Neodiprion lecontei: one gene and its partners. The protein of the gene in region 3 binds, or shares a complex with, the protein of the main gene of each other region. Links are inferred from orthologs where the notes say so. Each region holds a gene or a part of one and is shown on either strand. Other genes may lie near its edges.

Region 1 (11,834 bases), on a different chromosome or scaffold from region 3:
TAGGAAAATTTCAATTAAAAATTACGAACGTAATAGTTAGTATCGATTTTTCTTGGAACGACAGATTACATTTGTAATTTTATTAGAAACCAATTAATTACAAAAACGCCCAACACTGATCGAACTTTATAAATTTATTTCTGTTCGCTGATAATGTTCATCTATTCTAGACACCTTTTCGTCGCGTTATCAATTGTACCTAAAGGAAGTATAAAGGTGAAGTTGGTAACGAGACTGTAACGATGTTTAGGAAAAATTGTTATTTTACACCATGAAGTTGAATTTTAGTAAACCATGATAAACAAAACATACTCTCATTTTGAAAAGCTGACTCCTTCAAAGTGATCATAATTATATATTTTTAAGTATATATATTTTTCCCTGACGTTTCGTTGCAATTATTTTACTAACTTCAGCCTCATAAGAACCTGAACTAAATAAAAATTCAGAACCTCCAACATAATTCATCTATCATACTATGATAATATAATTAAAATCATTCAGTAGTTTCCTTTAATGGTACTTTAGTCTTGCCGTACATGGCGTCTAAGAATAACCCTGAGAAGACTGTAATCGTTGCCAGCCATTGTCTGGGTAATAAATTATTACCAAATAATAAAACAGAACCTAGTACAGTAAAGAATTTCCTAGTAGTAGTCATAACGGAACATGGAAGAGGGCCGAAATCTGACACTGTTAAGAATATGAAAAATTGTCCAAACGCTCCTGCTAAAGAGAAGGAAACGATGTGCCATAGGCAGTTTGGATGTCTCTGCATAAATGACAAGAATTGTACAAGCTCTCCTGACACTAGGATAACCGAAGTACTGAATATAAATGACCAGAAATTCATGTTCAGCATCATGTGGCCAGATTTAGATTTGTGCTCTGCTCGCATTCTTTCCTGTACCGCTCCAGTCAGTCCATCCATCGTCAATGACAGCAGCAGCAAAAACTCTCCAAAGCCCATTTGGCTTTCGGTCTGCTTGGTATTTGCCACATTGTCTTTGTACATGAAGAGAGCAACGCCCACAACGATCAGTAACACGAATAGGTATTTCCTCAATGGATAAACCTTAAATGAAAAATTAACCATATTTTTAGTTGAACGACACATCTTTGGTTCGAGATAAGAATTATCATTATTTTTTATCATCTCACCTCACAGACCAGTCACTCTTAAATTTGAATAAAACAGTATTGCGAATGTTGTTGAGAAAATTATGAACGAATCATGTTTTTGCTTTGAAAAAATCTTGATTAATACCTTGGTGGACAAGAGGAATATTTACAGTAGTTTTAATCTAATCGACTAGAAATAACAGACTTTGATGGGGCATCGACGTGTTGCTTTAAACATGACAGAGTAATACTGATATGAATAGGTAAGAGAACTATTGCAAAATCTGTAAAAGGTTTGAATAATCGACAAGTTAAAATCTCACCTTCCTTCCGAGCAGTACACCGAGTATCATAACAGGAATAGGCTTGCCAGCCTTGCCGACAACCTGAGTAGGATAGCTGACAAATTGCAAAGCCATAGTACTACAAACCATAGCGAGTAGATAAGTAAGCGAACTGACAGCATAATAAATTGTACGAGTAGAGTCTTCGCCTTGTTTCATAACAGTCAATAGTATAACTTTGGCAAACATGTAGTTGAGCAAACATTGGACAGAAACCAATGCGAACGCGAATGTGAATTTTTCGGGTTTGTCGGCATCTCCGTACTGTCCTCTGGTTATTTTTTCTTGAAGAACACCGAAATAAAAGTAACACACGAAAATACCAGCTGCACAAACGAGCAACTTTATTTTCGACGATTTCTGACTACCAGTCATTATTGATCAGTTTCTGTCAAACAATATCTACATGTATTCCAAACGGTATTAGAACCGCGACATATGCTCATCGAGGTTATACCGGACACGTCCACGTCTCGTCCACTTTAACTATTTCTTGCGGCTTTGCACACGCGACTGAACCCGATTGCACCGCGCACTTATTGCTCAACGCGCGGTTACAGTTTCAACTTCAACTGACGTTTCGCCAAGTGTCGCCTCTTTTCGTGCGACACGACGATAATGCGTCCGAACCATTGATAACGCGAGTTTGTAGATCACCAAATTCTACGCGGCCAATACTAGTTAGCCATCGATTCAGGATAATTTGTACCAAAACAATTGACAGCGGCGTTGACTGAAGAATATATCTTCAGTCAACGACAGCGGCGACGACGATTTCCATTCGCAGCGTCAAAAAGGGTTGTTGACGTCAGTCAATTGTTTTTGGAAAATGCGTGCCGTGTTTGTAGCAGTTTTAATCGTCCATACTTTCCTTATCAAGGCTGCAGAATCTGAGGGAACGGATTGTCAATGCGGTAAAGTATTGAATCGAAAAACAAACGATGATCAGAGCGGCAAAACTGAAGGTTTCTGTTCCGCCGGTGAGAGTGAAGCTTGCACTGTCAAAGAGAATAAGTACGAACAGAGAATCAACGCTCACGATGGAATGGCGATGATAAATTCGGGCACCTTTGCCGTCGGTACAAACCAACCGATATTCGTGGCCGACGGTGAGGGTCCAAGACGAAACGTAACTCTGGACGATTTCTACATTGATGTTTACGAAGTTAGCAACAGAGATTTCGAGGAGTTTGCCAAGGCTACGGGGCATCGAACAGAGGCTGAAAAATTTGGGGATTCTTTTGTGTTTGAGGGATTATTGAGCGAGGAAACAAAGTCTAAGATAAACGAGGCGGTTGCTCAGGCACCTTGGTGGCTACCGGTCAAAGACTGTAACTGGCGTCATCCTGAAGGTCCTGATTCCGACATACTGGGTGAGGTTTTCTTCTATACATAGGTAGTCCAAGAAAATTGGTGAGAAGTAGACGCGCTTCGATCATCACAATCTTAAACACGTTCTCTATGACAGACAGAATGGACCATCCTGTGATTCACGTCTCTTGGAACGATGCCACAGCTTTTTGTAAATGGCGAGGCAAACGACTGCCTACGGAATCTGAATGGGAAGTTGCGTGCAGAGGCGGACTTGTAACTGAACGTCTTTTTCCTTGGGGTAACCGCCTCACTCCAAAGAATCAACACAGGTAAGCTAGTATTGGAATTACGATTGTTCGATTAATTTTTATTTCATTACATCCTCAAATTCGGCGACGCACATTCATTTTTAAATGAAAAATCATTGACAATTGCTTGATTATTCTTCTTTTTTTTTTTGACAAAATACGCACAACACATTTATATGATTCTGTTAAGAAACATGTTACTTATCAATTATTTCTTTAATCTTATTACTAGTATAGAATTTTAATTTACTTTTTCCGTGCAGGACCAACATTTGGCAAGGAGTTTTTCCTAGCAATAATAGTGCTGAAGATGGATTTGTGGGGACAGCACCAATCACAGAATTTCCACCAAATGGTTACGGACTTTATAATATGGTTGGAAATGTCTGGGAATGGACTTCCGATTGGTGGGTAACTGAACACAGTGATAAACCTGCAAAAAATCCTGTAAGTATAACTTTCCTGTGATAACATACACCCAATACCCTTGCAAAAATGAATTCTATTCTAACACAGGAATGTTGCAATTGAAAAAAACTCTCAAAAAAGCTATGATTTATTGCTAAATGATTGTCCTAAGTCAAGATACACAATTTCGAGTACTGGTATTCTTAATAGTTTATGCCAAGCACCTACATTCCATGTAATAATTGTAGTTAAATTTCTCAAATTCATGATCAGTCAAAATTTTGTAGGTCGGACCGTCAAGTGGTACAGACAAAGTTAAAAAAGGAGGCTCATATCTGTGTCATGAGAGTTACTGTTACAGATACAGGTGCGCTGCGCGCAGTCAAAACACACCTGATACTTCTGCTGGCAATCTCGGCTTCAGATGTGCTATGTCGATTTAGCAATATCTGAATTGTACTTAGGTTAAAATATTTTGTAAATACTGGTACACATACGCATGATTGGATAAATTTTTATCAAAGTTTTGATTCTATTTTTAAGCCAGGTCCAAGTCTTCCAGAATAATGTTTGACGTTTAGTATACGTGTGTAAAGAATCATTTCGAAATATGAAGGGTTTACATTATTCCTCAGAAATTACGAACACGATTTTTGGAGCTCGAGATACAGATTTAAGTAGATTGTGATTGTAACCTCAGGTAAACTGTACGTATGGAAAAATGGTAATAAATTTTTCAGAAATTCCCAATCTATTATCAATGTTTCATTCAACGCAAGCACATTTTTGTGACAGCGATCAGCAGGTTATTTTGATTTTATAGGAGCCTCTGGACTTCATTTCCTATTACTAGAATTTATTTTCAGAGATTCCATAATTTTGGAATTATACATCAATAATGTTTGGCAATGAAAAAATTACCAATGCTATAATTTGATTTGATGTTTTTATTTTTTTTTAATTTATAAGTAAAATACTCTATTAGAAATTGATTAATCAAAAAATGTAAATATTTTCGATCCATATTGAATATTGAAAATTTCGTCTACTTTTTAATGACTGTTTGACTATTGGTTTCATTGAAAAAGAATTTCTTAAAATAACCTTAACCTAAAGTATTGTTTGAGTGTATGATATCGAGTATCATTTTACTATCTTAATTTTTTTTATGGGTTTTTCAATCGGCTTAACCTCACCAAATCTCGCTCGCCTCTTTTCTATTCTTGACTCCATTTCAGCCTATAAACAATAAATTATATGATTCATTTTAAAGGCATTTCACAGTAACTGATACACTGCATTGATTAAAAAACTGACACATACTTTTTCCATCACACTAGAAACCGAAGCGCCGAACCTTTCAGCTCTCTTTTTCAGCACCTCAAAGGTCGTATGCTGAAATTAATTATTCACGAGATTTTAATATCATCCCCAAGTTATAAGTGTTCCACGAATCTAACTGTCAAGCTGATTTTGTTCAAAACTTACCACTGGAACGTTTATAGATGCTGCTGACTTACTATTCTGCGTGTTTGAATTAAACCTGGCCGACCTAGCTTCTTTCTTTGCAGACTCAGATAGAGGGACACCAAATTTCTTAGCTCTCATTTCCAGTCTCTGTTCAAAAACGATAATTATCAGATGGTGGATGGATGGAGTATAAAATTTGCAAAATTAATTATTTTTTAACAAGTGCAATAGATGAAGATATTTAGAAGCTGTGAATTTCAGTTGAAAATGCAGGTATGTGACAATCACAAAAAACGTGTAGTTATCATTTTTACCTCCTTAACGCCCAGTTGAGAAAGTTTGATAACCTTCTTTTCAGGTTCACTTGTATCTGATTTATTATTATTCTCTTTTCCAGTTAGCTCACTTTGGATATCTTCGAGAATTGGATTACGATTCAGTACTATTTTTTTGGAATTCGCTGAGTTACTTTCTGTTGACAATTTTCGCTTTTTGCCCACTTCCTGTGAGTCGGGTTTACTAGAAAGTTCCTCTATCTCTTCATCCTACAGGTACATATCATTCATTTATAAAAACGGGAACAGATATACAAACTTGATTCAGACCTGGTAATGCATTATTATTTTAGTGAAGAAACATAATAAACCAATACATTTCAGAGTCTTATATTCGGAATATTATCAATATTTCTGAAAGCTAAAAGGACGTAAAAATATAACTTACTCCGAGAACAGCATCCTCATCTAATATTTCATCCGTAGTCTCGTCAAGTGATAAAGTCGAATCTGTGAAACAAAATATCGGTGGCTGTCAAATATTGAGTATTATTTAATGCAATTCATTAATCCTGGGTATCCTGTAATTAAGCTAACGATTATGGTTTGCATTTTCATAATCCTACCTCCATGCATTGCTAATTGAAGTCGTTCTACCAGCTCGGTTTTATTTCCAGTCGTGGGCAGTCCTCGTTGCTTCAACTCCAACTTTAAATCTGCTACCTGTAATGAATGTCATCAATTGATGCATCAAAATTATTCCCTGCTATAATTAAGTACCTCTCAACTATCGAGAGGTTGGAAAATTGTATTCAAATTTCGAAGAATCTATAATCAACGTTATAAATAAAACCTGACACAGTTCAATCCATAAAGGATAACAGTACCCTTTTTTACAGTAAAAGATCTTTGAGACTTGAATTACTAGAATTTTTCAAGTTTGATTAGTGCACCTTCGAAGCAAAACGTGTTCAGCAATTTGACAACTTTCGGGATGACGATGGTTTCATATATGAAAGTTAAAACATATTACTATTCGAATGACAGAACTCAAAGTAAACTTTCTCCAAAATATAATCATTCAGGGTGCAATAAGATGGTTGGATTCGTTGAGGTTAACGTAAATATTAAATACACAATCGCCGCATGAAACAGTGCTAATGTATGCGCATACCTTCATCTTGGATAACTCGGTTAATCCTTTCTCGTAAGAAGAATCAGCCATAATGAATTATTTTTAATTACTAATTTTCACAAGCGGCAAAACTTTTCGTATTTTATCTCATTTATCACAGAGTTTTGGTACAGGTAAACGCAACAGAGCAAGCCAACCGAAATTCGTAATCACAGTTCGTAACTGTGAAATGTAAGAGGATACGAAAGACCGGAGGAACAATGGCGAAATATAGTCACGCTGATCCCGCCAGTCTCGACCAGTGGCATTTAGCCACACTGATTCAGCCCTGTTTTATCGGTGGCGCGCTTTCCGGCTTGACTGAATTTCCGTATGGCAATGCCGTACTCCATACTGACCAACGGAAATTAACCTCGTTTCAGTTTTTCAAGTGAAATCTATTTTCCTTGTAGTACCGGGTCTGTTACGAAGATTCTAATTGCCAAAATCAATGTTTTTCGGAAGCTCAAAACAAAAACACTGTAACATTTAGAAACGTCGGGCTTTTCTCTGGCGCATCTGGCGGTTGATTGAAAAATAAATTTAGGCCATCTCTCAGCAATGTAAATAAGATAATTTGAGATTTGAAATCTGCGATAGATATTTCATCATTGGTAATTGCAAAAGTTATTCGAAAAGCAATATCTCGAACGGAAATCGAATTGAAAAATCGAAAGAGTGAATCAGTTCTAATGATTATGTATTTTCAACTAAGGTTGCACGTATTGCATTGATCGTGCCTGCGAATTCACTCGCTATATTCACAAAACAGCACTGATTTACTGCTACATGAAAGTCACGTAAGGCACGGATGAACAGAGTAAATCATTTGGTCTATAATTTGGAGTGAGATGACAGTCAATGAAAATTATTACACCCACAACTATTTGTGGCGATAAAAGTTCCAACCGCAAGTGTCGTGCCGATTTATTTATTTATTAACTCTTTAATCTCTTGCCGTTATAATACAACGCCAGGTGCAGATCCGTCCACACGGTGAACGTCAATTTTCTGATATTTTTTGATAAACTAAGTTCTACATAACATTAATATGATGTTTACACAAGCCGCCAAAAATTCGCTCGAGAATTACGACAAAGCGTTTCATCGGCACGCTTTTTACGTAACCTTAGCTGAACCCATGTCACACGACATCCACACTGGTCGGCGGCGTCGCATTAGGAATTGGCGAGCTAAGACGAGACACAGTCTCAAAGGACAACGGTTTATGTACGTGACGCGACAAACGAAATAAACGAAAATGCTGCTCCAATTCACAACCACAATCACAGATCAAGCGGAACGTATCTTGAGACCGTTCCTCGGCATCGATATCGAATTGAAATTCGCATTTCATTATAATATAGCTGTCTTGTAAACGTAATATTTCCGCATGAATTGTAGTAATTGAGTCTTATATGTATATAGTAATGACTTTAATAATTACTCATTAAAGTACGGCATATTTGATTAATAAAAAACATCGCGCTAAAGACTGATGATCTGGAATGTGCTGCACTCTATGCGAAGCTATCAGTGAACATCCTTCTCAGCAGTTGTAGATTTACCTTGCTGTAAAATTTCTATTGAAAGGCATATCCGGAGTATTTTTTTCGTCCGAGCTTCCAACAGCTTGATTAATGCATCGAATAGGTTGTCCATTCGTTACGATTATTCGTAAACGTGGAGAGCGGGAAGAATCTCGTCGGATGAATTCAAATAAACGGGGCCAGCCGTGATTGACGGGTACGGAAATCACGTGGTTGCAATGGCGGGAAATCGTTGGAGTATTTCGAGCCGCGTACGCTTGGTGTCTCTACTGTGAGAACGCCGTCGGCAGAGTTTTGTCAGTAAACATCTCGAGCCAGGGTTAAAATTGAGGGTGATATCGTGAGAGTTTGTCTATTTTGTAGAGTGAAAAGATCATCGGAGTCTACGTAAGATTGTTTAATGAGTGTGGTTGGGCGCGTGGTACGCTCACTGCGGCCACAAATGATCAGGAAAGTTCTTAACGAGGTTGTCACGGAGGGAAAATGTCAAACACCTCGCCAGTAATAAATGGTGAAAACACTGGGAGCGTGGATTTTCGGGAACTGCTTACGGCACCTGGAACTACGGCTAGTGGAGTTAACGCGGCCGCGGCTCGTGCGGCATACAACATGGTTGCAGCAATGAGCGAACATTTATCAACTAACGTGAGGCAAAACGAGTTCCAAACCGCTGCCGAGGATAGCAAGGCGGGCATATTAAGCTTCCCCTGCGACTTCGACCACATGTACGCGAGTATGACAGACGGCGGTGCCCCGGCGACATCGGCACTCGGTGTCAGCCCCCTCCGCGGCAACGAGGCTCGTCACCATGACCTCACCGAGGTCAAGCACCTCAAAGAACTACTACTTTTACATCTGGACCTGATACAACAACAATCCGAGCAAATCGTTACCAAGGATAAACTATTAGCGGCTCTCAGGCAGGAGAATGAAACGGTATACAAGCAGACGTTCACTAGTACTAATTGAAGTGTCAGTATTTATTTACAGAGATATAACCGTATCGCTATTTCCCTACAAGTGACGCTCCATGTCGCTAAACATGCCTTGGACAACAAAGTTGTCACGCACATGCTGAAATGTCATTCAATAATCTCGCTTCACCGTCAAGGTCATGCTTCATGTACCTGCCGTTGGGTGGCGTTGTAACCGCTACGTACATTTGTACACATTACAATATTCACGTCTCTGACGCGTTTCCGATGACATTGCTCTGTCGGTAATGTACTCTCGCTCGGTACCGATAGCGTTTCACGCGGAATATTTGGCTACCTAAATTTGAACAACTTTGTTGAATCTACTGAAAATTCAACTTTTGTAGGCTTGAAAGTCCTCATTCCTGCTCAAAACTAATATTTCCTACCACGTCTTGATTTTGTGTATTTCAGCTGAAGTTGCGTTTGGAACGGATGGATAGACGAGTCAATCTACAAAAACTACGATCAGATGTAACTGAAAATTCTGTATTACCTGATCACGCCGGGGCTTGTTCTCCTACCAGTCTGAATTCACCAAATACGGCATCCACTAGTGATCATCAGAGGAATACTGAGTCCGAGAATAGCAGTCCTGCATATAACGAGAGTTTTAAAATACGTTTGAATACAAGCGGAGGTATAACTACAGTTAAACAAGAGCCGAGTGAAAATCATGTCAAGAATGAATCCAAGCATGAAACTTTTCGACAAGAATCGAGTAGCGACTCTCGACATGATTGGGAAATTAAGAAGAAAAGGAAGTCCGAATCTAGTACAACATCAATTGGAAAACGCAAGAGAGGTGTATCCTGCTCGTCGACAGTCAGTAATGACACAACTTCCACGATACCAGACAACAAGAGCGTGACTCACGAGAATGTTAAGAAGACGGATAAAAAGGGAAAATCCATTACTAAAAAGGAATCCTTTCTAACAACGGAAGAACATTATTTTACATCCATAGGTGAGCCCAACTACACGTTAAGTCTGTCGGAACCTGTGCCTTCAGATAATAGTGCTTCTCTGGAGGTCCCAAACTGGAGGGTTAAAGTTTACACCAGCTGTTACACAATGGAGGGAACAGAAAACTTAGATGATGAAATATTTAACAAAAGACATCTCAAGTTGGAAAATGATGAAAGGCGTCGAAAGAGATGGGACTTTCAACGGATAAGGTAAGTGACAAATATTTTCCTACTTTGAATTTATATACGAATGGCAAGTTTTTTTTTTTAAACATTCAATTTTGATTTGCAGGGAACAACGGCATATCGAGAAGCTAAAACAAAGACAAGAACGTCAAAATCATCAGGCAACATGTTATAATACGAACCACACCGGACCATGCCCAACGCTACCGGCAGAAGAGGCAGTAAGCACATTGTGGCCAGAACCAGAGCAAATTCAGGGACTTCAAGTTGACTCACGACTGCCAGTTACTGCGTTTGGTGTGCCCATTCCCACCTTTACCCCAACGTAAGTTTCCTTGTAGTGCTAGAAATAGTTTTGATTTCAAATATAGTAACAGCAGTGATCCTAGATTGTACGACTTAACTTTAATCATTCATCTAGAGTCAGACTGAAAGTTAATCTGTGGAAAAACAAAAAAACAGGCCTAAAGCATATACTATCTTGTTAAAGTTCATTTACTGTTTGAATTACAGTGAATTCTCTTTACCATGGCTACATACAGCGAGGTCGAAGAATCGACGCACCAAACGATCTACAGGTAGAAGAAAATCTTCTAGAAGATAAGCTGGCACAGCGACAGGCTGAACTTGTTTTTAATCTAATTACTATTTTAAAACATAGCTGTAGCGACGTCTTCTTAATGATTTGTTTTTAACTCTGAAGTGCGTTATTCCTGCAGTGTTAAATAGGGCACCAAAGATGTTTTTACTCTTTATTTTTAATGAACGCAATGTACTAAATCGATAAACTACTGTTATCGATTCAATTTTCTACAATTTTCTTCATTTACAATCACGCCCACCTGCCACTCATCGATGCGTGTAACTCAACGCACGATTAAGATCATTTAATTTTACAACTTGATTTAGGTACCTAACATTTATCCATTTATTTGTAATATCTTGACGTACGTCGCAAAAATTTGATAAACTGATGTTCATATTCGAATGTAACTTTTCTGTAAAGCTTTGTAAATTATTACTTTTATTGTTGTATAAAAAACATATCATTTGTTTTAAGCTCTTTGATTCATTCGGTACATTTTAGACAAATTTGGCTTCATCAATTATTACAGTATCATTTTTTTTTTTTTTTAACTTTAACACATGTATAAAAGATACAAATGAAACTATATAGTATTAGCATACTATACACGTGAGAAAATAATGTAATGATTAGTGGTTAGAAATGGTCGTAACTAATTAAAATACAAAATTTAATATTTATCGCACCCTTTAAATTCTTTTAAGACGTAATGTTTATAATAATTTCTCATGATGAAACTCAATTCCCAGTTACTGCAAACAACGACAGTCATCCAAATCATAAACCAGTATCATGAAATCAACATTACAGAGGATTTTTTAACAATAATTCCATATTCTTACACGTGATAAGATTGGATGATACAAGTTCTAATAACGTTGGTTGTTTTTGTTGTCTTCAATAATTAAAATATTTCAAAGTGGTACATCATGAGGAGGGATTGCAACTGTTACCTCTGGCAATGTCAGTCGAAGACGACAAAACTGAAATATTCATGTTCAAATTTTATCTTGTAAGTCTTACCTCTCATATTCTTTTAAAGCACTTTTTTCCCAAGTAATAAGATTTGCAATTTTTATTGTTAAAAATCGAAATGCTGGGCTCAAACTAAGTTTAAATGACTCAAACTGTGTTAATGTAACTGATTATAATTTT
Region 2 (10,772 bases), about 11 Mb from region 3:
TAGAAATTAGATCTTTCATTCGAAATCAGTGACCTCGGAAATCTACCGAAACCAAGTTTCAATAAAATCAATAGTTTTTTTTTTGGATGTAAAAGTCTTTTGACCTCAGGAAAGAATTTTCTTCCTTTGCGCAAAGTGCGTAATGGTATCGAAAACTTTCTACAGGGACTGGTGAACAATTCCAAACTTTGCTAGGAGTGCTAGGATCCATTATCAGTGTATGCTCATAACGCGACATTTTGGGTCACAAATTCTACAAGCCATGCGAATTTTTGGTCAAGACCATTCGAATAGAAAGTGACGTGCTCTTCCCAGTTTGAGCCGGCCAGCCCATGAAACGGTACCGAATCGAACTTTTTTTAAACCTGTTGGTCAAATAACTCAAAATCTGTATAACATATGAAATCTATAATCTGATCACTTTTAAGTTAAGAAAAGTTGCGTCGATTGACATGAATATAATTTAAATCCTGACGTGCATCCGATAATGGTCCGAGGTGATTTTCTAGACCTTGAAGCATCGAGATCCCGTGAAAACTCAACTATCTATTGTCGGAGTGATTCTAGTAACTTTCCGTATTCTTTTGTCCTTTAAAAATAAAGGACTAGAAAGTTAAAATACCGCTTAAATGACCGTAATCATGTTCCACACGTAAGTACGACAACTTGTCCCAGTCTTTTCTACGCTGGTTTCCTATGTTGAAAAATCGTCAAAAAGCTCTGAACACGTTTGACCAGACGTTTGTATTATTCGGTCTTCAGCCGCAGCGGCACTGTAATGACTACATACGTAATATGTATACAGTCAGAAGATTCCGCTTTGTTCACGATATTTGTTTGTACCTCGGGTGTTTTCAAACTCACAGAATCTATAGCCTGCGGCTAGCATTCGACATGAAATAGACATTCTTTTTCGAGTCAATCAACGTCTCGACGGTGATCTGAGCTCACACGCAAAACTGGCTGTAAATTAATATTTATTCAAGCAGGATTAAAACTTCAACGATGCGGAATCATCCAAAGTTCATCTGAACCGGGTTAAATTTTAAAGAATCTAAATCGACTTCCTTTTATTTTATCCACGGACATTCGCGATGGATTCGGAAATAATTTCATGTAATTTCATAATGTACGTCACACATGAGACATTCTAGACCATTTTCACCAGTTGGACATGGCCCTCCTTTTTTTTTTTTTTTTTTTTTAATACACAGTAGGGCGTCACAAATAAAACGCAAATCGCAAGGATCGGCATTTGTTTTAAATGAGTTTTTCTATAATTCTAGAATTTAAAATCATGTGAAACAAAACGACTACCACACATAACTGATTTCACTTGAATAGGTATACACAGTGAATTCTTTGTGAAAAACAAAAATGTTTAGCAAAGCAAAGACGAGCAAACCAATTCAATAACCTTCGTTTCTTGTACTTGTGAAGACATAATATTTCGATAAAAATCTTTCGAGCACATCACGTTAGTTCTGAACCAGCTCATAATTGCAGAACAGCGTTCCAAGTACAAATATTGCTTGCGAATTTCGTGTAGAGGATATTTTTTCAGGACTCCACAAAAAAAAAAATCTATTAAATTTTCTCGAAAATGTATTTGACACTTGTACGCACGAAAACAAAGCACGATTCAGAGAAATCAATTGTGCATGCGACACATTACAGTACCGTGATCTATTATAGGGGCGGATGAAACCACGTCGTAGAAATTCATAAAAGAATAACGGTTTCTGGTTTAGTTTGACTTTCGTAAACAGCATTGTAAAGACGTGGGGGAAAATCTTACGCAGCTTTGAATAGAAGCTCTTGACATTGATGAGGTTAGTGATCAGAATTTAGGCTACGATTAGGTGGGTTTAAGTCGTCAATATTTCAAACATAGCAAGAATAACTCTCGGTGATTTCGTTAACGCGGCGAGTCCGTTTCTCGTCTCGCTGCAACGGCCGGTTTTCTTTCTCTTTCTTCGTAACACCAAGTACTTTATGCTATGCAATGCATCGCGCAAGAACAGAGTCCAATTCCTGCTTAATTGCTTTTCAAGCTTGTTCAAAAGCCGTGAAGTTCAAGGGGCGTCGTATAACGTTCCGTAACAATGCGGAATGAAAATATTATAGTTTTACGTGAAATCGGTCCGAGCCTTGGCACGAACTCGAGCGATTAAGCTGGCGCACAAAGGCGGAGGGAGATCCCTAAGAATTCTGATTCGACAATAACTTGCGTTCTAACTCTCCGTAAGCGACATACCGGCCGTTTTACGTAGGTCGCGTGAATGCGTAGGTAATTTCGCGATTACCGACTCACGGCAGAGTCAAAAATACGAAAACAAAAACAGTCGAGAGAAATGCGTAAGCGGTCCTCGGATTCAATTATCCCTTTCAAAATCAATCATTTCGCCAATCTTATATCACAGCACAATGCCAAAGGACGTCGGGTGAAGGCCTGTGACGAAACGTTGGAGGGAGGCTCGATGCATCGATCGTCGGTATGACGTCACAGAGCGACTGCGTGCGTGAGGAGAGAGAGAGAGAGAGAGAGAGTCGGCCACAGTGAGGAAGGGATAGAGAAGGGAGACGGCCCGGGGAAAGTAGGGGACGAGCACCTGTGACGGTGTCGAGGTGGGGCGACTACGTCACAGACGAAAGCGCGCGGGTCGAAGGTCGAGATAACTCGGCATTGGGGAAGCATTGCAGTGGTTGTCAAGTTCGTTCTGCGTAGATACCTTCAGGGTGGCCACACTGATTGGTCATGGAAAAAACTGAAAAAATATCAGTTTTCTGTCAAGGGAATCGGAAATTGAGGTAACGAGTTTACTTTCTTTCGTCGAGAAAATATATTGGTTTATACTGGCTTTTTTGTGCATTATTTTATTTTTCAATTCGAATTGAATTTGAACCGAATATAGGAGTTAATAAGCTAACCGATTCAGGTTTTGGTAACTTACTAGAACGGGGAAAATTTTGGGGGGTTTTTTTTTGGAAGAATTTTGTGGCCACCCTGTGCGTTTGACTGATTCGACTGATCCTGCGATGGAATTATACGAAGATCTTTGAACGCAACATGAATCAGAAAACACAGTCGATGTTGGAAATGTGATACGCGTCATGACATGTGATATGTGATATGCCGAGACTAGGATACTTATAAGTAGTAAAACCATCTTAAGCCTCCGGGCAAACACTAGTCTTTTAGGGAACGGTCGTTTTGTAAGTATCAATTTTTATGAATAATACTTCGAAATTTCTGAGTTTGCCAACTTTTGGATAATGTAGTTAACACTCTGAGAAGAGGCCGTGAATTTTTTCCGATTTCTTGAAAGCCTGGAACATTTTGAAAAAGTGCACGGACAAAAGTATCTCTTTAACGTACTTTATCATCTCGTACAGTTGCATTTTCACAGCCTATGAAAAATATCAGGAAGTACAAAAAATAATACAGTAAGATCGTGTGATTGTGTGATTTTGTCATCATGTTTAACTAATGTAAAATCGTTTTCATGGCTTCGCGCTAGATTTACACATGGTAATTCATAAACTGAAAATGTAAACTAGCGATATTCTTTCCTACCACTTCGAATTATACAATTCGACAATTATGAGGATAAAATAGACGATCTGTAAATATCTGACCGTCTGAGTGGTAGAAACTTCACGAGAATGGGATTCAAAATACTATGCGAAGTAAGAAATACTCGAACGGTATTCTAGCTCTAGCGGTTACCGCTAGATATCGCGCCAATCTCGTAAGTGAAACTACTCGGCAGTAACTTATAGTTATAACAATTCTTGGAGACGAGATTTATTGTGTCCATCTATTTTTGAAGCATAGTCAAGGCAAAGATAGATACATTTCGATTTATCGTCTGTGTATACGTATGCATGCCTGATACTTGCGTCTACTAAGAAACGAAGACAAATTGCGAGGCAACGCGATCTGAATAATCCGTATTAGCATAAGTTGAACATACATCGTGCTTGCAAGCAATGTGAGTGAGTTCTGCGATACGGTGAAATTGAGGATCGCTTACTGGGGATGATGTCACAATCGTCATGGCAACTCCCACAAAAGGGTATTTGAGTCAAGGAAGAAAGCTCATCGTCGGTGTTTAATTACCGGTTTTCGTTTCCGTCTCTGAATTATTCATGGAGTCTCAATTCTACGTAATATTTTTGAAAGTCGTTTATGTGTTTGAAAATACAATGCAGACTCAATGAAGTTTTCATTTGTTGGGATATTCATTCAATTTCAAAGAATCTGCCAGTATAATAGTTGGGAATGTATGCCTGGACCAATATGTTTCGAAATAAATCATACGCAGTTCGTTTTTCTAATAATATAGACTCGGAGAAATTATAGCATGTACATTAAAGAAAAAGATGGAGAATGTTACGATGTGTAATTAAATAACTATGATATTTTGTAACATCGGATTTATGTTATGTTTGAATGAGTGAAGGATTTTTGGATTTTTCATTGACAGAAAAACTTTATTGAGAGGTATTGTAAAACAATTGCTGGAAAAATGTTGAGTTGGGATTTGAAAAAAAAAATGTATTGCACAAGTTTTTATTCATCATACTGTTTAATAACAATGATTCGACGTTTGGATCTTGTATACACACAGCATGTTGAAAATCATGGAAGTTTCATTCTTATTCTACACTGGAAAATTTGCTCGAAAGAGAACGTCAAGAAATCGTAATAAGAATAATAAACTTAATGAAAGTTAATAGCGTTAAAATAATTAATTGAGAAAATTAATTAGTCTTAAAAAATACAGCATTTCGCTCAAACAATCGATAGATATTTCGATCTTATTCAGGTGTTGGATATATTTACCTCACATTCGATGGCCGAACATTTTCAAAGTACACGAGTACAGCTAAAAAATTTTACGAACACAAGCTGTACAGTTAAAAAAATTCACTTACGCAATGCTGATTTTTTTCAACGGCTAAATATTGACGACTTCTTCGTGAGTATTTCTCTATTGGAAGACTATTCAATTACAATACTCAAACTTTGCACTGAGTTCTGTGTTATACAAGTTCAGATTGTGCATGTGTGCCAAATCAGCGCGGTGACATAGGTTAACAGCTAATTAATTCAACTAGTTATACTGAAGGTCAGGGGTATTTTTCAGATGAAAAGGTCAACGCATAAAGCCGCACGTCACGGCATCCTCATGCGTCACAGCGCAGACGCATGCATTAAAGCTCCATCACGACCGTACCTCAGAAGCATCATTCAGACGATAAATTACGATTCTGGATTCCTCGTGAATACTGAAAAAGGCGTCATCGCCATATCTGTATCGAGTTCGGACGAAGACCCTACTTCTGTGCTAGGCTGCATGGGTATGTACCGCAATATTTGATAGTTTGGTAGATTTTGTCGCAGAAATACAAAGAATTGTATTTCGAGTCAGGAAATTGCCAATTGATTGGTAAATCTATGCATTTCGTACGCCCATGCTCTTCTTTCAATTTTCATAATCCCTCGCACTGACTCTCCACAGTCTATGTATATTAATGTCTTGAACAACATTTCACTTACAATTATTTCTATGAGTATCGAATCGGAATCGAAATACGTTTAAATAACCTCCCTCGAAATATTTCCTGAATATTACTAATTTATTATCGTCAATAGCTACTCGGTGTATTCAAACGCGTAATGCACTTCAGATTAAAGCGGTCCATCAATCGTAAACGGCGGCTTCGTTCCCAGAAGGGAATATAGTCTCAAAACGACTAGGAACCAGTGGTGTAAAAGAATTGTTTAAACATATTCATCAAAGTGTTTTTTCAAATTATTCCATACTTCGTTGCGGTATACGTTTGAACCAAATGAGTTTATATTCATCAGTCTTCGCCTGTGGTGAGCAAAATCCACATTCTGTCGAATTCCGCAATGAACGGCTTGACTAGGGCGAGTTGATTCGAAACTATGACGTTGTCCCAGTTTCCGTGCATCGCTTGCATCGTCCAATTTGTACTCCCCGTCAAAATCAGCTTCCTATCAATTATCGCAAACTTGTGATGCATCAAGTATTCCGATTTCTTCATCCTCACTCGAATACCTGGCGATGAGGTTATACAAGAAACGATTAAATATCATTCGCTTGACCTTTATTTTGATTTTTGATTCAACTTTGTATAGCTGCTATTTACATGAAGAATTTCACAAATACTCATTGATTATACAGGTGAGAAATACTAGCTTTGCTTCCACTTTGAGATTTGAAATTTGAAAAACGGTCTATAATTGTGTGATTTTAGCGGGTATAAACGAAATTCTCGAGGTCCCTGTAAATTTCACGTTGTTAAACGACATGCATTAATCAACTCAAAAAACACATGTTTTCACGTTCAACGCACTTGTAATTGCACTTGAAACTTAAAACCCTGATTTCGTCACGACAGATTCTTTTTTCAGTACGTTGTTCGAATTTTCTTCGATTTTCGGTACTTGATTAATTTTTAAATTACAGAGTCTAATTCGGACGTGAATAGTTCTTGAGAAACTGTGTACCTAACGGCATAGAATATCTACGAAATTTCATCAATATCGTACAAACTATTTCGAATCAAGATATCACGTGAAGAGTGTCGAAAAACGTTGTTTCGAGTAAATTAATTGTGAATTTTACCGTATCAATTGCAAATACTAAAAGTTGACTTAGAAATTCTACGCGAAATGGTGACGAATCGCCTTACTTTCTGAGAAATCCTGTTATTCAAATTGTTTGGGAGTGATTTAGATAATGATACGCGTGCGATTTGAAGAGCCTGAATTGCTTTGAACTAAGTAAAATCTTACCTCGTTCTCGAAAATCTCTTATACGACGCTCACAGGCGGAATTTTCCGCCATTCCTCCATCGACGATAATTCTGACAACTACTCCGCGACAAAACACCTTGGCTATCGCTGCTGCTAGATCCTCACAGCTGAATAGATACATGCAAACATCGAGATTTTGCTGAGCAGATTCCAAATATGCGCATAGTTTCCTACAGCAGAAAGAATACGTATTTCACAAGTCGTATATATCGTAGCGGATCATTTACAGCAGACAGGCCGTGTCCGTACTAAAAGCAACATGACGACGTTGAAGCAAAGATTTCCAGGGTGGGTGTTTCGACGCTTCGAATTGAATAGATATCTTGTGATCTGTCTGTTACGAAATATGATGTTTGTCGGTAGCAGGGTAGGTTATAAAATCTACGAGATTGAAGTTAGCAACGTTATTGTAACGAAACGTTGAGAAATAATCACTATTTTATTACGGTTTGCTGAATTTCAAACAGCTGCGAAATTATCTCTGTGAAGTTGGTACCCCATTTTGGAAAAAGTAAGTTTTCGTTTTTACGAGTTCTGGATAGTGCTCAAATAGTTCTACAGTTCTATACCCATATGAGAAATACTTCTGGTTGTTTACCACCAATTGTAAGAAAATAATAAACAATAAAAAAAATAACAACAATGCTAGCACCCCACAATTAAAGTACGGCAATTTTTTCGAGTTCTAAGAAGATTTCAGAAATAGCTCGAGAACTCTTCGAATTCTGATTGAATCGGAAAAATTCATTCGAATGATTGACGGAACTCACGCTCGTCTATGCGAAACTCTCATCGGAACTTTGGGAATGGTTAAAATTAATTTTCGCTGTAAGTAATGCGCGTGGATATTTTGTTCAATATCTCGGTAACGAAACAAAATAAAAAAATTTGAATCGGCTGAAACTCTAGAATTCTGAAAAAAAAATGACTGGTTTTAAATAACGGAGTGCTAGCATTTTTGTTATTTTTTATTTTCTATTTTATTAGTGGTAAATAACCAGAACTATTTCTCATATAAGCATAGAACTGTAGAACAATTCGAATACCATCCAGAACTCGCAGCAAAAACTTATTTTTTCGAAAACGAAGTAATCAGCGAAGTTGGCACCCCATTTTTTGAAATTAATTTTTTGAACCCTAATTGACCGGAACTATTTTTGAAAATTATCCGGAACTTTAGAACTCTTTGAGAAGATTCAAGAACACTCGAAAATTTTTATTTTTTTTTTTCAAAAATGGGGAGCCTACCTCACAGAGGTTGCAAAATTGCGAAATAACGGGTTTTCATCAGCATGAGTCGTTACGATAACGTTACTAATTACAACATGATTAAAATCTTCAAAATTGCTCTTTGCATTTTGCACACGTTTCTTGCTCTTATTTTGTGTGAATACTCTTGTTTATCAAGAGATTATTAAACCGAGCGATTGATAGGAATGTTTGCGCTCTTTCAATTGGTTTTTCGACAAAATTAGACTGTCTTTTTCGGCTTTATTAAATGTGAAAGCCTGATCTCGAAATTAGTATGGCATCCAAGGTACATCGAACGTCTCTAAAAATCTTTTCATCGATATTCCTATTGCATTATTTCGATTGATTCTCACCTCAATTGTGTAACCGAACAGTTGGAACGGTCGCAAGGTGTTCTAGAGACGGCGTGCATGCGACAGTTGGATGATTCTTCAGAGAAAAAAAGAACCTCGTTGATGCTCTTTGAGGATATTTTACTTCGAGTTCTTTTATACAATTGCCATAATAGTTCTGTGGCCAAAACTCCCGTGAAAACTACGATCACCACCTTGTTGGAACGGCCAAAAATCCACATGTTCTTCATCATCGTGATTCCTGCACGAAATTATCCTATGAATCATGTTTCATTGGTGTGTACATATTTCAGCTTCAATTATTTTTAAAAGTACAATAGAATTTATGTGAAGGATTCGCATCAGAAACATCGAATTCAACATACGAAGCCCCAAAACTGTGTACCCCTATCAATTGATTCACGATTCACGTTTTCAAAGAGCCTCCCCATAAATTGCCCGTTTTGTAGCTCGCGTGAATTTTTCCGAAACAAGGGCGAAATGATACTTTACGATACCTCGATATTCACGAATAAATTCAAGCTCGAGTATACACAAGCTTACGGAGATACGGGGAAGTAAACTTTTCAAATTTCTATTTATTCGGTAATAGAGTTCCACAAAAAAAAAAAAAACATTCTCATGTATTTTTTGACAATACCCGTAGACCACTAAAATAATTCAATAAAGCAGAAAACATCCCCTAAAACAGGATGAAGCAGGTTCTTTCTGTACGTGTAAGTACATGTGTAGGTACGAATTAGTATTTGTTAAAAACATAGACACGTGTCATTCAGATTTATTTATAATATCATTTACATCTCATCAATTTCAGTGTTTTTTTTTTTTTTGCTGAAAAATATATCTACGGATTTTCTTCATCAAATCCGTAAGCACCATATTTCTAAATCCCTATTTCATTGCTTGAATTTCACATCAAAATACATTTTAAATTGTCAAAATCATCTTCGAAAAGTATTCCTGCTGTGGTTAAAATAAAAAATTGCGCGAAATATTGATCATTTCAGCAATTACACGACTGCTATCTACTTTTAGAATGAGTTGTTCCAAAAAAACTACATCGTAAATTTCTGTTCACCTTCTTTCGGTGAAAAATTTCAATTTTTCCTTTGGTCATCTTCATACTTGCTAGACATTAGGGGTGTGCGGGTATCCGAAAATTTGGATATTCGAGCTCGGGTTCAACTCCGGTTTTTTGGCAATCCCGAAATCTTCGGATAGTCCGAAAATTTTCGAGTACCCAACTCGAAAGTAATCCATTCTACCCGACCCGATCCGACCCGAAGAATTTCAGTACCCGCACACCTCTACTAGTCGATAATAAAATTATTTCACGATAATGTGCTAATAAAGCAGATATGAAAGAATTCGAGAGTATATTTTTCAGTGAGCCTCTAGTCTGACTTTTCGAGAATAAAATCTCCACGACTTACAATTCCAGACGGCTATGAAATTGTCGTTCAGATTGTCCGAGATTTCGGAAATGACACAAGTTCGAAATTTTTCAAAGTCTCTGTTGACTTTAAAATCCCGTTATTTTTGGAGAAGCGAAAACAGTCGTGAATAAAATTTTCGAAAACTCCGCACTTTTCGGCAAAACCGAAATTTTCGAGGTACTCGGAACTTTTTGGTGACTCGAGATTTTCGCGTACCCACAATTTTGTGGTAATCTGAAATTTTCGGGTACCCGTCCTCGATCCCAAACGCCCCTAAATATTTGCCTCATTTTGCATCACCTATTCAATTCCACGGATTGATAATTTGATATATTCTTTTCACATACTTATAAGCTTTATAACTTGGTTTTAAGTCATTATATTTTGCTTTAAATTTCGGTACGCATTGCATGCATATGATTTCTTTTGTCTTCTAAACACCTTGAGAAACATTCATTCTTGCTTATGTTAACCTTAAAGTCAATTAATATTAACGGCAGTCTGAATCCAAACTTACGTGCACGTACGTACCAGAAGGTCCACACCAGAGAACGAGTGGTATCCTTTCAAGATCGCAAGCTAACGGTCAAAGCATTTTCTCCGTCCTAATGCCTTTTATGGCTTCGACTATTCTTCCCACCAATACTTAAGAAAAAACTATTCAGCATTCAACGACAGTTCGTTAAAGACAAACCAGATGCCCGAAAATCACTTTATGATATTTTCGGACATGCAGGAATTGACGTGCACGTACAGCGTAATAAACCCGTACGGAATTCAGCAAGTACGGAAATTGCCCAAAATATCATCACAACATACGTAAATCTTCCGTATTGGTCCTCTTCCCATAAAAAAATTCAATTCCAAAAATTCCCATAA
Region 3 (10,286 bases):
TGTATTGGAGATACACGTCGACACCCAGTAATATCAGGCCATTATTGAGAAAGAAATTAGTTACTGATGACCTGACTGAATTATATGTTCACAGCCTTAACACATCGCAGCTCAATTATTTGCGGTGGTTTTTTTCCCTCATATTTTTTTCTTCTCAAAATCTTGCATATGTCATTATTTGATAACGACAATAGTTCACTATGGTGAAAAAAACTCATCATCTTGGATACAATTACAAATGATTACAAGCATTTTAAACGTTATAATGTTGTGTGTATTGTATAATATCGTTATCAACACTGTTAAGACGTTTCTATAACAATTACCCACTTTATTGTAAATGTGCTACACTTAAAATCTGCGTAATTTGATTATTATTAAAGAGGATGATGATAATAGGAACGCCACTTACATAAGGCTAAAGTTATTTTTACAGTGTTGCCTTCAACTTATACTTATTAAGGGCTATAAGCACATGACGTACTTTGATAAATAACAACTTTTGAAGGAGAATTTGAGTGTATTTTTCAGTTTATGATCACACACGCACGGTATTACATACAAAATTCATACAGCCTTTATATTATGTCACAACTTTGTATTCTTTCCCATGTCTGATGGACATTTTTTTTACCTCGGATGCCAAAAATCACGGTACGATTTTACTCTGCAGCTTTTTCATATTGCATTTGAGTTGTTATTAGGTATCTAAACTCTATGAGTAGTAGAACGTCAAACATAATTAAAAAATACTCATTCCGAGACAATCAAAAAAAAATCTTTTTCTTTACTCTCACGTATTAATTTCATGATTATTAACTTATTTGGAAATAAGAGATTGTTACGTTCTTCAATTAATAAAAGAACCGTTAAATGAGAAAGAAGATATATGTAGTAGAATTTTATGCTATCTTATGTTACTTCACTTCCTTAACGTATGCTTCTAATTCTGCATCCAACTCTTCTGCAGTTGGAGTTTTGGCTGGCGTCCGTCCACCTCCTCTAGTTCCACCACGTCGACCACCGGTTCCACGACCTAATGAAAACAAACATCCATCCAATTAGACGTAATAAACTCGCAAGTGGGTAAGTATTAATGATATAAAAAATATTCGCTACACTAACATTACGGGCTCTTCTGGGAAACTTAAATTCTAATACATCAACTATTTTGAGATAATTGGTAGACGAGTAACAAGTAAACAGTAAAGTACCTCGGTTGGAACTAGCTCCACGAGCTCCTCTGAAGCGCGGTTGGGCTCTTTGTACGAAGCTACCACCACTGAGTCTACTTCCTCGGATAGATGAGGTTACTGGAAGTTCTGAAGTTGCTACTTGAATATTCATCTCTCGACCTGTTGACCGAATAGTCAGTATTAAGTAGTTATTTTGCGTAGCATGGGCGTGAACTGAGTGTTGTTCGGTAAGACAGATGTTATCAGCACAGACGATTCGATGGTCGTCGACATACCGAAAGTATGACGTGCCACAAACGTTAGATGGACCGAGTAGCAATTTACACTCGAGCTCCATACGATATTTTTTACAGTGCAACATGAAAATTTTTTATACTGCAGTTCTGAAGTCAGCAGTGTAAAGTACCATTCTACAGTTTGAAAACAGTCCTCAAAATGCGAATTTTTCATGCATGTGTCATAAAAACTGTATTAATACTTTACTACAAAGAATTTATCCTCCACTATTACTTTTGCATTAATGAAAATCGCACAATATTTTGACTGTATAGTAATTGAACTTGAAATATTAAGAGGAAAAAAAAAACTTACCATCAAGAGGCACGCCATTGTACTGTTTCATTGCTTTAATGGCATCTGCTCTTCTTTCAAATATAACATCTGCTGAGCCAAGCGATCGACCAGATCTGTCATAGTGTACAGCAGCTGATTTCAATGGGCCAAACTCACTGAATAATTCCTAGTTGTCATTTAAGATGAAAAAAAATTCAATTAATTATTAAAGTACTGTCAAAAAATTTCGTTTACATGTTTTCAACTAGAGATCTACTTAAAAGTTATTTGAATTTTCAGAAAACTTGAACTCCCAAATTAAGTATTAGAATTAGGTTTTAATGAATATCACCATCTATAAAATTAGAGACATGTTCTTGATAAGAAACTAAAAGTTGTTGAATAGACTGGAAAATATTAGATATACATTGCATTAATATTTTACCTGAATATCTGAATCGGACACCCCAAAATCTAAATTTGAAACAAGTAGTTTGGTTGTGCCTGTACCACCAACTGCACCTCGTCCAACTTTCTTCACTCCATCAAACATGTCATGTTTCCAAGCACTGTTCACATCTCCCTAAAATTAACACACAATCCAATCTTATTATGATGAACGAGAGGTTCAATAGTCTTAAATTAAACAAAGTTCGAATATATTCAATTCATTCTAAATAGACCTTCACGAGACTTGTGTGTTTCTGTGTGTTATCAGGTAAAACAGAACAAGTTCATACATATAATTTAACAGTTGAACATACATACTTATTGAAGCTTATGAATATCATTTACTTTACTTGTTCTTTACAATTACTCGTATATTTTTTAACACAAAAAACAGAAAACTATGTAATCGTGATGTTTATTCAACTGGGTGAAAACATTCCGACTGACAAATTCATCGTAGTAGCATTTATCAACTCATCTTGTGGAATTCTTTTTGATGTAAACAAAAATATATTGTGGATAATAGTGGTATCTTAAAAGAGAAACAAAAAAATTAAAAGAAGTTTAGAAGTACACAAGTGAACGAGGTCAAACTACAACCATCTGTAAAATAACTGGTTAAAGTAAACTATTTGCATTTTAAACATATATAATAGATTGTTCATGTTTGACTGTGAATGAATATTTGTAGAATTTTACAAAAAAAAAAAACCATTACTGTATGCTTCTTTTTAGACTACCCAAAAACAAATGGGAAACCAATATAGACACTGCAGTATCAAGATTATTTTATTCGTATTATTCACAAACGATCGAATTATGCCAATGAAGTAATACAAGAAAATTACACCGTGGGAGAACTATCAAAAAGTGAAACGCATTTTCTAGCTGAAAAGGTCAAACGTGAAAATTTTATTGATACCACGTTTAATCAGGCGCGCTCATTAAAATGGCGCAATTTAGAATTTTTTGGTGTTGGGAGTGTAGCGTTCCTGCATTTTGCAGTTCCTAATTTTGTTTTTAATAACGTAATTGTAATTTTGGAAGCGATGAATGAAGTACGGAAAAGTGAAATTCAAAAAAGAAATAAAACAAATTGACGTGATATAATATCCGCAATAAGAACACAACCGCATGTGTGCAGTTCCGAAATTAGCGGTCATATATGCATCGATACACACAGGCGAATGATGCCCGATGAGTGTTTGTAGAAAAAAGCAACTTCGTCTCGGATATAAATTTATGAAAAACTTGGGATATCTGGAATGATCTGAGTATGAGCATGGAAAATTAATAATTACCCGGGTGTATGGAACGGCTGAGCGGCCAATTCCTCCTCGGCTTCGGCCGCGCATCACTCCACCGCCGGCTCGCGACGCACCTCGGATACCACGTCTCGGCGAAGCTGTTCCGCGTCCACGACGTCCGCTGCCCCGGGTTCTTCCACCTTTGTTCTGCTTGATAATGTCATCCAGACTCATTTCTATTTTGTCTACCATCTTCATTTGTACGTAATAAATTCTTTGCTTTAACAGTGGACTCGTACGCACAAAACCAACCTCACCCCGTTATGTCAAAGATGGCGATCAAGACCGCGAAGAGTGTCGAAAACTACTACGAGCTTTTACGAGCGACGCGTCTACACAACTGCAGGGACGTTCGTAAACTGATCAACCGTAGACGTCCGCCCGGCCTTTTACCAGATTGGTTAGCTTTCTAACTCTGCCGCTAGAGGGCCAGGTATGCCCCCCCACTCCTCTATAAATATTTTTCGTAAAATAAAAATATAATAATGTGTTTTAGTTCCGAATAACACTATCAAAATTTGCGGAATTTTTCATTTGCGTTAACTGAAGGTATATAAATACTGATAGCCTTGTGGGAATTTTTGTAATCGAAAATGAACGAGATTAATTTATCGTCAAGTAACGCCATCTGCGCTCTTCCCTGCATGCGCAACTGAAGCCGGCAAGCTGTCGGTACGTAAAGGCGACAAAAACCGAATGACTCACCGCGTGTACCCAAATAATGCAGAATTAAATGTTATTTTCCTATGGAATGACGAACAGGAACAGACTGAAATCCTTATATGACCCCGTAAGGACGCCGTATACTTTTCAACTATGCAAATTCATTTTAGCCAAATTCAGCAATTTTAATCCAACTCCATCAGATAGACAAAAATAATGTTATCTAAATAGATGCATGCACCATAAACATACACCTGGTTAACTGTTAACAGCGTTAAAAACCTTTTCTTGATACAAACGATAGGACAAATAGTCGAAAAAATTAATCAAAGGATGAAGATGTATAGTTATTCCTATATGCTGTACCTTATGTAATTTATGTAGATATGTTTAATACATAACTCATACTCAGCGCCGAATTTACCTATAGGGCCGATAGATTCGGACCTAGAACGGCATTTTTTAGGGGGCGGCAGAAATTGGGTCTGTAAATGCATTTTTGGAACGAAGTTCCTTAACACGGCTTGCGGGTTGGAGTTTCACTGCTCTAAAAAGTATCGCAAGTGATGAGACCGAGCAGTTTGCAGTCATTATTGCAAACTTATGAGGTTTGATTTTGAAAAGGTTCAACCTTGTGAATTTGAAGTTGCAGAGCGTAAATATTGATATTGGAACCGTCGTGGAATTATATCATTCGCTTACTGATTTCGCCCGAAGTATTAGAGATAACTTCGACCACTTTGAAGAGATGGTAAAGGCTACATCGACTGTTCAAGAATATGAAACGGAGAATAAGCGGATTAAGAAAAGAAAACTCAGAATAGATGAAAGCCCAAGTACTGAAAGTGGGCGAGATGACTTTCGGATAAATACATTTAACGTAATAGATGATAGTCTCAGTGCAGAATTGTAATGGCGCAGTTGGTATATGCAGAGCTTCATGAAAAATTCAGTTTTCTAGAACGGCTGAAGATATTATAAATTAAGGAAATAAGAGAATCTGCAGAAAAATTACTGGTAGCATTCAACGAGGATTTAGAAGATGGTATAGTGGAAGAATGTTTACACCTTCGCTTGCCCGACAACTGAAAAAGAATAGAAACGGAACGATTAGCACAATTATGGATCCCGTTTCTTTAGGTTGCCGAATTAAGCATGTTTTATTCCAATGCGGAAATCGTTCCAAAAATAACGGATTCTGGCCTCCGTACAAAAGTAATCCAATACGGCTGGGGTATACTATAAAACTATGGCTTTGTGTACACGAGACAGACATCATAGACAAGGCAAGTACAATGGACGCTAGATATAATACGTTATATGGCTCTGCCGCAGGGCCCGATGATCGGAAAATTGTCCGAAATGGCTAATTGGCAATCACGAGAGCCCTACACGGTGGGTGGTGACACACTGCAGCGCAGCGGGAGATGGGCCCAGCTGAAAAGTCGGCACCAGAAAGCTCAAGGTTTTACTATCATAAAAAATAATTGACCTTCCCCGAAGAACGTTTAATTTGTGTATGTTTCCGGTCACGTAAAGAGACTCCCCGCCGCGCAGTGCTCTTGATTTCGACACCAGCAGGGGTGCGATTAGCAGCTAGCCATTTCGGATAATTATTTCCCCTTCGGCCCTGCGGCAGAGCCATAAACCTATAGCGTCCATTGTACTTTACTTCTACATTTAAATATGTACTGGCTTGCCTATAAATGTCTGTACTTTCTATGTTAAAACGACTTTTATCCCGTCGTATTTATAAATTTATAAACAAATAATTCAATACATTCGTCAATCGATTTGCGTTTTATGGGTAGTGAACTAGTTCCGAGAAACGGCTGTCGAGCTCACGGCTTGAACTAGACCTTCGACTAGACAGACCGGCGTCTACGCGTCATTACACGTGACTACTACTCTCTATTTTTCTATGCAAGGAATGGACGGGCGAAAAAAGAATTAGTATCGATGGCCAAAACTAGTTTAATTTGATATCAATCACTGTTGAGTGTGAAATTGTTATTCGTAAAAACTTGATTCTGAGATTTGATGAATGTTGGAATCGCTACTTCCAGAGTAATTAGAATTTAGAAAATAAAAGGAGTTGAACTTGATAGAGAATGAGTGAGAAATTGGCTTGCTGGAGTATGGAATAAAAGCATATTCGTGAGAGGTGGAATAGATCTACGTACTTGTAGAGAGCGGCGAGGAAAATATAGGTTCATCTTTAGTCAGCGTTGGCATCCATTGTGGAAATGCATACATTGTATGTCACGACTGTGTTCAGTTTCATTGAGCCTGCTGTAGCGGCTGACAATGAGCTCACGAGAGCCTCGCTGAAATTCTAAAACTCCAAAAGTGTTTACCCAGTAAACCAACACGAAATGAGCATGTTAAAAACGGAATTAAAACAAAACAATTGGAACTCAAAAGAATTGGCACACAGGTCTGTTGATTCTATTAAATTTGTTTTTATTTCATTTTTGACTGACACAATTCATTTCAATTCGCTTTGGTTTACTGGGTACAGCGAGTTGAGCAACGCGATCGATTTGCTGTTGACTGAATTAAATAGTTTTAATTTCTTTGCGAATTTTGGGCTATAGTTAATTACCCGTCGCGGCTTGAGCCGTTTCCAATATCATGTATTTGCCCATCTAAGCTTCTGGAAGTTAAGTTTTTCGAGATTTTCCAAAATTCTAAATTGAATTAGTTTGTTGGAACATTTTTCAAACAATTGGAATTAAAAATCAAGTATTTCAAAATTCTTCCAAAATATTTGCAGCTCAAAGTTACTACTTAAAAAACTCTGAAAAAATAAATTGAGTATCCTAGTGATGCTATTGGCGCCTGTAAAAGATTTGATATATTCATGTAAATATAAACGATACACGTTCATGTATTTGATTGACATTTATATTTCCGTTGTATAATTTCGGCGTAGATATTTCATGTACGGGATTTTTTCAATTTTTCAATTTCACGGTGACGAGGGTATGTTCGGAACATCTTGCACGCGATAAATGTTGGTTATGAAGAACTTCTTTTACCGGCGTGGTTAGTAGCTTGGTTAATGATACGTCAATGTAATATATCCAAGCCCGGCCAGACCCAGCAAACTGTCACAAAAATTAACCCAGGGTTATCAGTCTTTATGTATCTTCAGTCAATGCTTCAGGGAATCGATTCCGTAATTTCATTTTTCACGTTTCCCGCCATGCAAACATTCTGATTAGTTTGCAAATTTGAGTCATCCAATCATAATGCTTGGATAGTGAGAAATGTGAAAAGTGAAATAGAATTGATCCCTAGAATTACTCGACTACGTGAGTACTTCTAGCATGTTTAGTTGGTCTATGAATTTTCCCGACGTATTCGAACCACTAGAACATGTGTCAGAAATAGATCAAGGGAAGCTTCAGTTGTGTTTCGGCGAAATTTGAAAGTGTAAACACGATTCGATATCAGCAACTTGCAAATTAAATTTTTATATGTGAGGAATTGTGTCATGAGATGAGACTGAAAAATTTCTAAATCGATCAGGCTTTCCATCATCGTATTGTTATTAATCTGCGATTGCTGTGAATTTTTCATAGAAAATATTTGACGTAAATGGGCTATTAGATTTACCTTTGTTGTTTTCAATGATGATCCAATTGCAGCGTAGATAGTTTGGCGTCTCCTGTGTGTCAAAATAATTTGAGATTTTAGTTGGTTACCCCAGAAAACAAGCTTAAGCTGTACGAAAAGAAATTTCAAAATGAACAACAAGTTAAAGCTCGCTAATTTAGCTTCACCTAGGTACACTAGGTCGATGAAAAAAAAGATTGGTGAAATATTCAACCAGACAACAAACGTGTCAGAATATTTTCCCTATAATGTGAAAAAATCAGAACCTGCGAAAGCTGGCTCTAAGAAGCGGCCACCGATTAAGGTAGAGTACGAGAATCCACCTGAGGCGAAACCGAAAAAATTACCAAAAACAAAGAGGGCAGAACCTCCGATCAATGATGAATGGGAACCAGAACACTGGAAATCTATCCTAACAAATATTTATGAGATGCGCAAACATGGTACTGCTCCTGTGGATGAAATGGGATGCCACAAATGCAGCGATCCAAATGCTACTGCCTCTGATGCCAGGTTTCAGATTTTGATCGCACTCATGCTCAGCAGCCAAACTAAGGATCAAGTAACTCATGCAGCAATGGAGAAACTCAAGAGCCACGGCTGTACACCTGCAAACATCAAACTCACAGACAATGAAATATTGGGAAAACTAATTTATCCAGTTAGTTTTTGGAAGGTACGCAAGCAAATCATACTCTATCTTTTCATTTCCCCAATGTATCCCACAGCCTTTAAAAAACTCTGTATAAAAATTCAATAATTTGGAGACACCAATGCAACAAGTAGACCTTTCGATATTACTCTAGCTGAGATTTACCGTATATCTTCGTGCTGATCTTTATACTAATAAAAGGTTTTCACAAAATGATATTGACCTTGTTTCAATATTTCAGCGAAAAGTGGAATATATTAAAAAAACAACGGACATCCTGCTGGCACAGTATGCTGGGGATATTCCAAAGACGATAGAGGATTTATGCAAACTTCCCGGTGTTGGGCCCAAAATGGGTCATCTCTGCATGCAAATTGCATGGGGTGAAGTTTCCGGCATTGGAGTAGACACACATGTGCATCGTATATCCAACCGTCTTGGCTGGGTGCGTAAACCAACAAAAATACCAGAAGAAACTAGAGTTCAGCTAGAATCATGGCTCCCTAAAGACAAATGGGTAGAAGTAAACTACATTTTAGTAGGATTCGGTCAAGAAACCTGTCTCCCTTTAAGACCAAAATGCTCGGAGTGTTTAAACAAAAACATTTGTCCTTACGCTAAGAAGAATGGTGCAAAGTAAGGCTTTGAGTCGAGTTGTGAAAAGTGTTGAAAAGTTTCGTTTAAGATATTTGAATATTTAAGAACATTGTTTTCTTGTTCTATAATTTTTTTCTTCCACTTCTTGTGTTACTTGTGCTTATCTTTGAAAAAAGCTAGATTTATGAGATGCGTGGCAAAGTTTTCTAACACTTCTTTTTGTTGCATGATATACCAGGTAATTAAAATTTACTGCCAACCTGAAAATTATACCGTGACGTGTATTCAGATTAGCATGAGTCGGTTTAAAATATGGTGTACAAATGGTACAAATCAAGAAACTGATGCAATAGGCGTGCATGTTATATACGGTATATTTTTATAAATATAGGATCGACTGTACTGTGCTGAGCTCATTCCTTTGTATTAGAACAAAAAAACTCCAAGTCCTTTATCAAATTATTCCAGGTAAAAAAGTAATTGTCCAAAATGCGGTACAGTTTCAATAATTCGTCCCTTGTTTTACCGGTATCTTACCATCCCTCCCTAGGCCTTCTCCGGACCTTGTAATTCAACAAAGGTTTGTAGCCATACCATTGATTGCCCCCCCCCCCCCCCCCTCCCCCCGTTCTATATAACATGTGAAATATTCGAATGGCCCTCAGGCCCTTGTATCCATTACTCAAATCACCGTCGCTCAAATATACGAGCATTCCAAATGGGCGTGCGAGCGTCAACGGTAATATTTAAAACGCCGTCATAACCTCAATTTTAATAACAAGACTAAAAATGAGCGTGAATTCGAAATTAAACATCTTAGCGTCGCCTAGGTACACTAGGGCGATGAAAAAGAAAGTCGGTGAAATATTAAATCCAACGTCCGAACGTTCACCAGACGGTGTAAAAGGAGCAGAAATGGTAAAAGCCGCGGTAAAAAAGCGGCTTCCGATTAAGGTCGAATACGAAAATTTGCACGGGAAAAAAATGAAAATATCCCCAACAACAGAAAGTAAAAAAACGTCAACCAGCGGCGGATGGGAACCGAAAGATTGGCGTGTTATTTTAGCAAACATTCAGGAAATGCGGAAAAATATCACGGCTCCTGGTGACGAAATAGAACGCCACGACGGCCCTCAGCCAAATGCTACTCTCAGGTTCCAAACTCTGATTGGTACGATGCTGAGCAGCCAAACCAAGCAAGAAATAACTCATGCAGCGATGAATAGACTCAGAGATCATGGTTGTACA

The links. The genes of interacting proteins can lie anywhere in the genome.
Region 1: THO complex subunit 4 (region 3) and SAP domain-containing ribonucleoprotein share a complex: the UniProt entries of both Homo sapiens proteins name them as parts of the transcription/export (TREX) complex. The link is inferred for Neodiprion lecontei from reciprocal best matches to the Homo sapiens genes ALYREF and SARNP.
Region 2: THO complex subunit 4 (region 3) and THO complex subunit 1 share a complex: the UniProt entries of both Homo sapiens proteins name them as parts of the transcription/export (TREX) complex. The link is inferred for Neodiprion lecontei from reciprocal best matches to the Homo sapiens genes ALYREF and THOC1.

The regions. Positions count from the first base shown.
Region 1 is NC_060263.1:36,076,040-36,087,873, forward strand, and holds SAP domain-containing ribonucleoprotein, read right to left. Parts: upstream 6,654-11,834; 5' UTR 6,467-6,653; coding exon 6,416-6,466; intron 5,965-6,415; coding exon 5,868-5,964; intron 5,752-5,867; coding exon 5,690-5,751; intron 5,512-5,689; coding exon 5,281-5,511; intron 5,114-5,280; coding exon 4,985-5,113; intron 4,892-4,984; coding exon 4,820-4,891; intron 4,736-4,819; coding exon 4,640-4,735; 3' UTR 3,940-4,639; coding exon of another isoform or gene 3,784-3,939; 3' UTR 3,536-3,783; coding exon of another isoform or gene 3,352-3,535; 3' UTR 3,121-3,351; downstream 1-3,120. Other genes in the region: solute carrier family 35 member B1, read right to left, coding at 497-1,075, 1,446-1,841; formylglycine-generating enzyme, read left to right, coding at 2,296-2,839, 2,935-3,109, 3,352-3,535, 3,784-3,939; male-specific lethal 1 homolog, read left to right, coding at 8,449-8,901, 9,354-10,117, 10,200-10,418, 10,607-10,697. UniProt on the Homo sapiens protein: Binds both single-stranded and double-stranded DNA with higher affinity for the single-stranded form. Specifically binds to scaffold/matrix attachment region DNA. Also binds single-stranded RNA. Enhances RNA unwinding activity of DDX39A.
Region 2 is NC_060261.1:27,606,761-27,617,532, forward strand, and holds the start of THO complex subunit 1, read left to right. Parts: upstream 1-5,152; 5' UTR 5,153-5,367; exon of another isoform or gene 5,368-5,874; coding exon of another isoform or gene 5,875-6,092; intron 6,093-6,832; coding exon of another isoform or gene 6,833-7,023; intron 7,024-8,457; coding exon of another isoform or gene 8,458-8,690; exon of another isoform or gene 8,691-8,713; intron 8,714-10,410; exon of another isoform or gene 10,411-10,772. Other genes in the region: mitochondrial cardiolipin hydrolase, read right to left, coding at 5,875-6,092, 6,833-7,023, 8,458-8,690. UniProt on the Homo sapiens protein: Component of the THO subcomplex of the TREX complex which is thought to couple mRNA transcription, processing and nuclear export, and which specifically associates with spliced mRNA and not with unspliced pre-mRNA.
Region 3 is NC_060261.1:38,210,639-38,220,924, forward strand, and holds THO complex subunit 4, read right to left. Parts: upstream 3,870-10,286; 5' UTR 3,704-3,869; coding exon 3,500-3,703; intron 2,332-3,499; coding exon 2,194-2,331; intron 1,936-2,193; coding exon 1,788-1,935; intron 1,356-1,787; coding exon 1,215-1,355; intron 1,037-1,214; coding exon 918-1,036; 3' UTR 501-917; downstream 1-500. Other genes in the region: endonuclease III-like protein 1, read left to right, coding at 7,920-8,465, 8,683-9,081; endonuclease III-like protein 1, read left to right, coding at 9,828-10,286. UniProt on the Homo sapiens protein: Functions as an mRNA export adapter; component of the transcription/export (TREX) complex which is thought to couple mRNA transcription, processing and nuclear export, and specifically associates with spliced mRNA and not with unspliced pre-mRNA.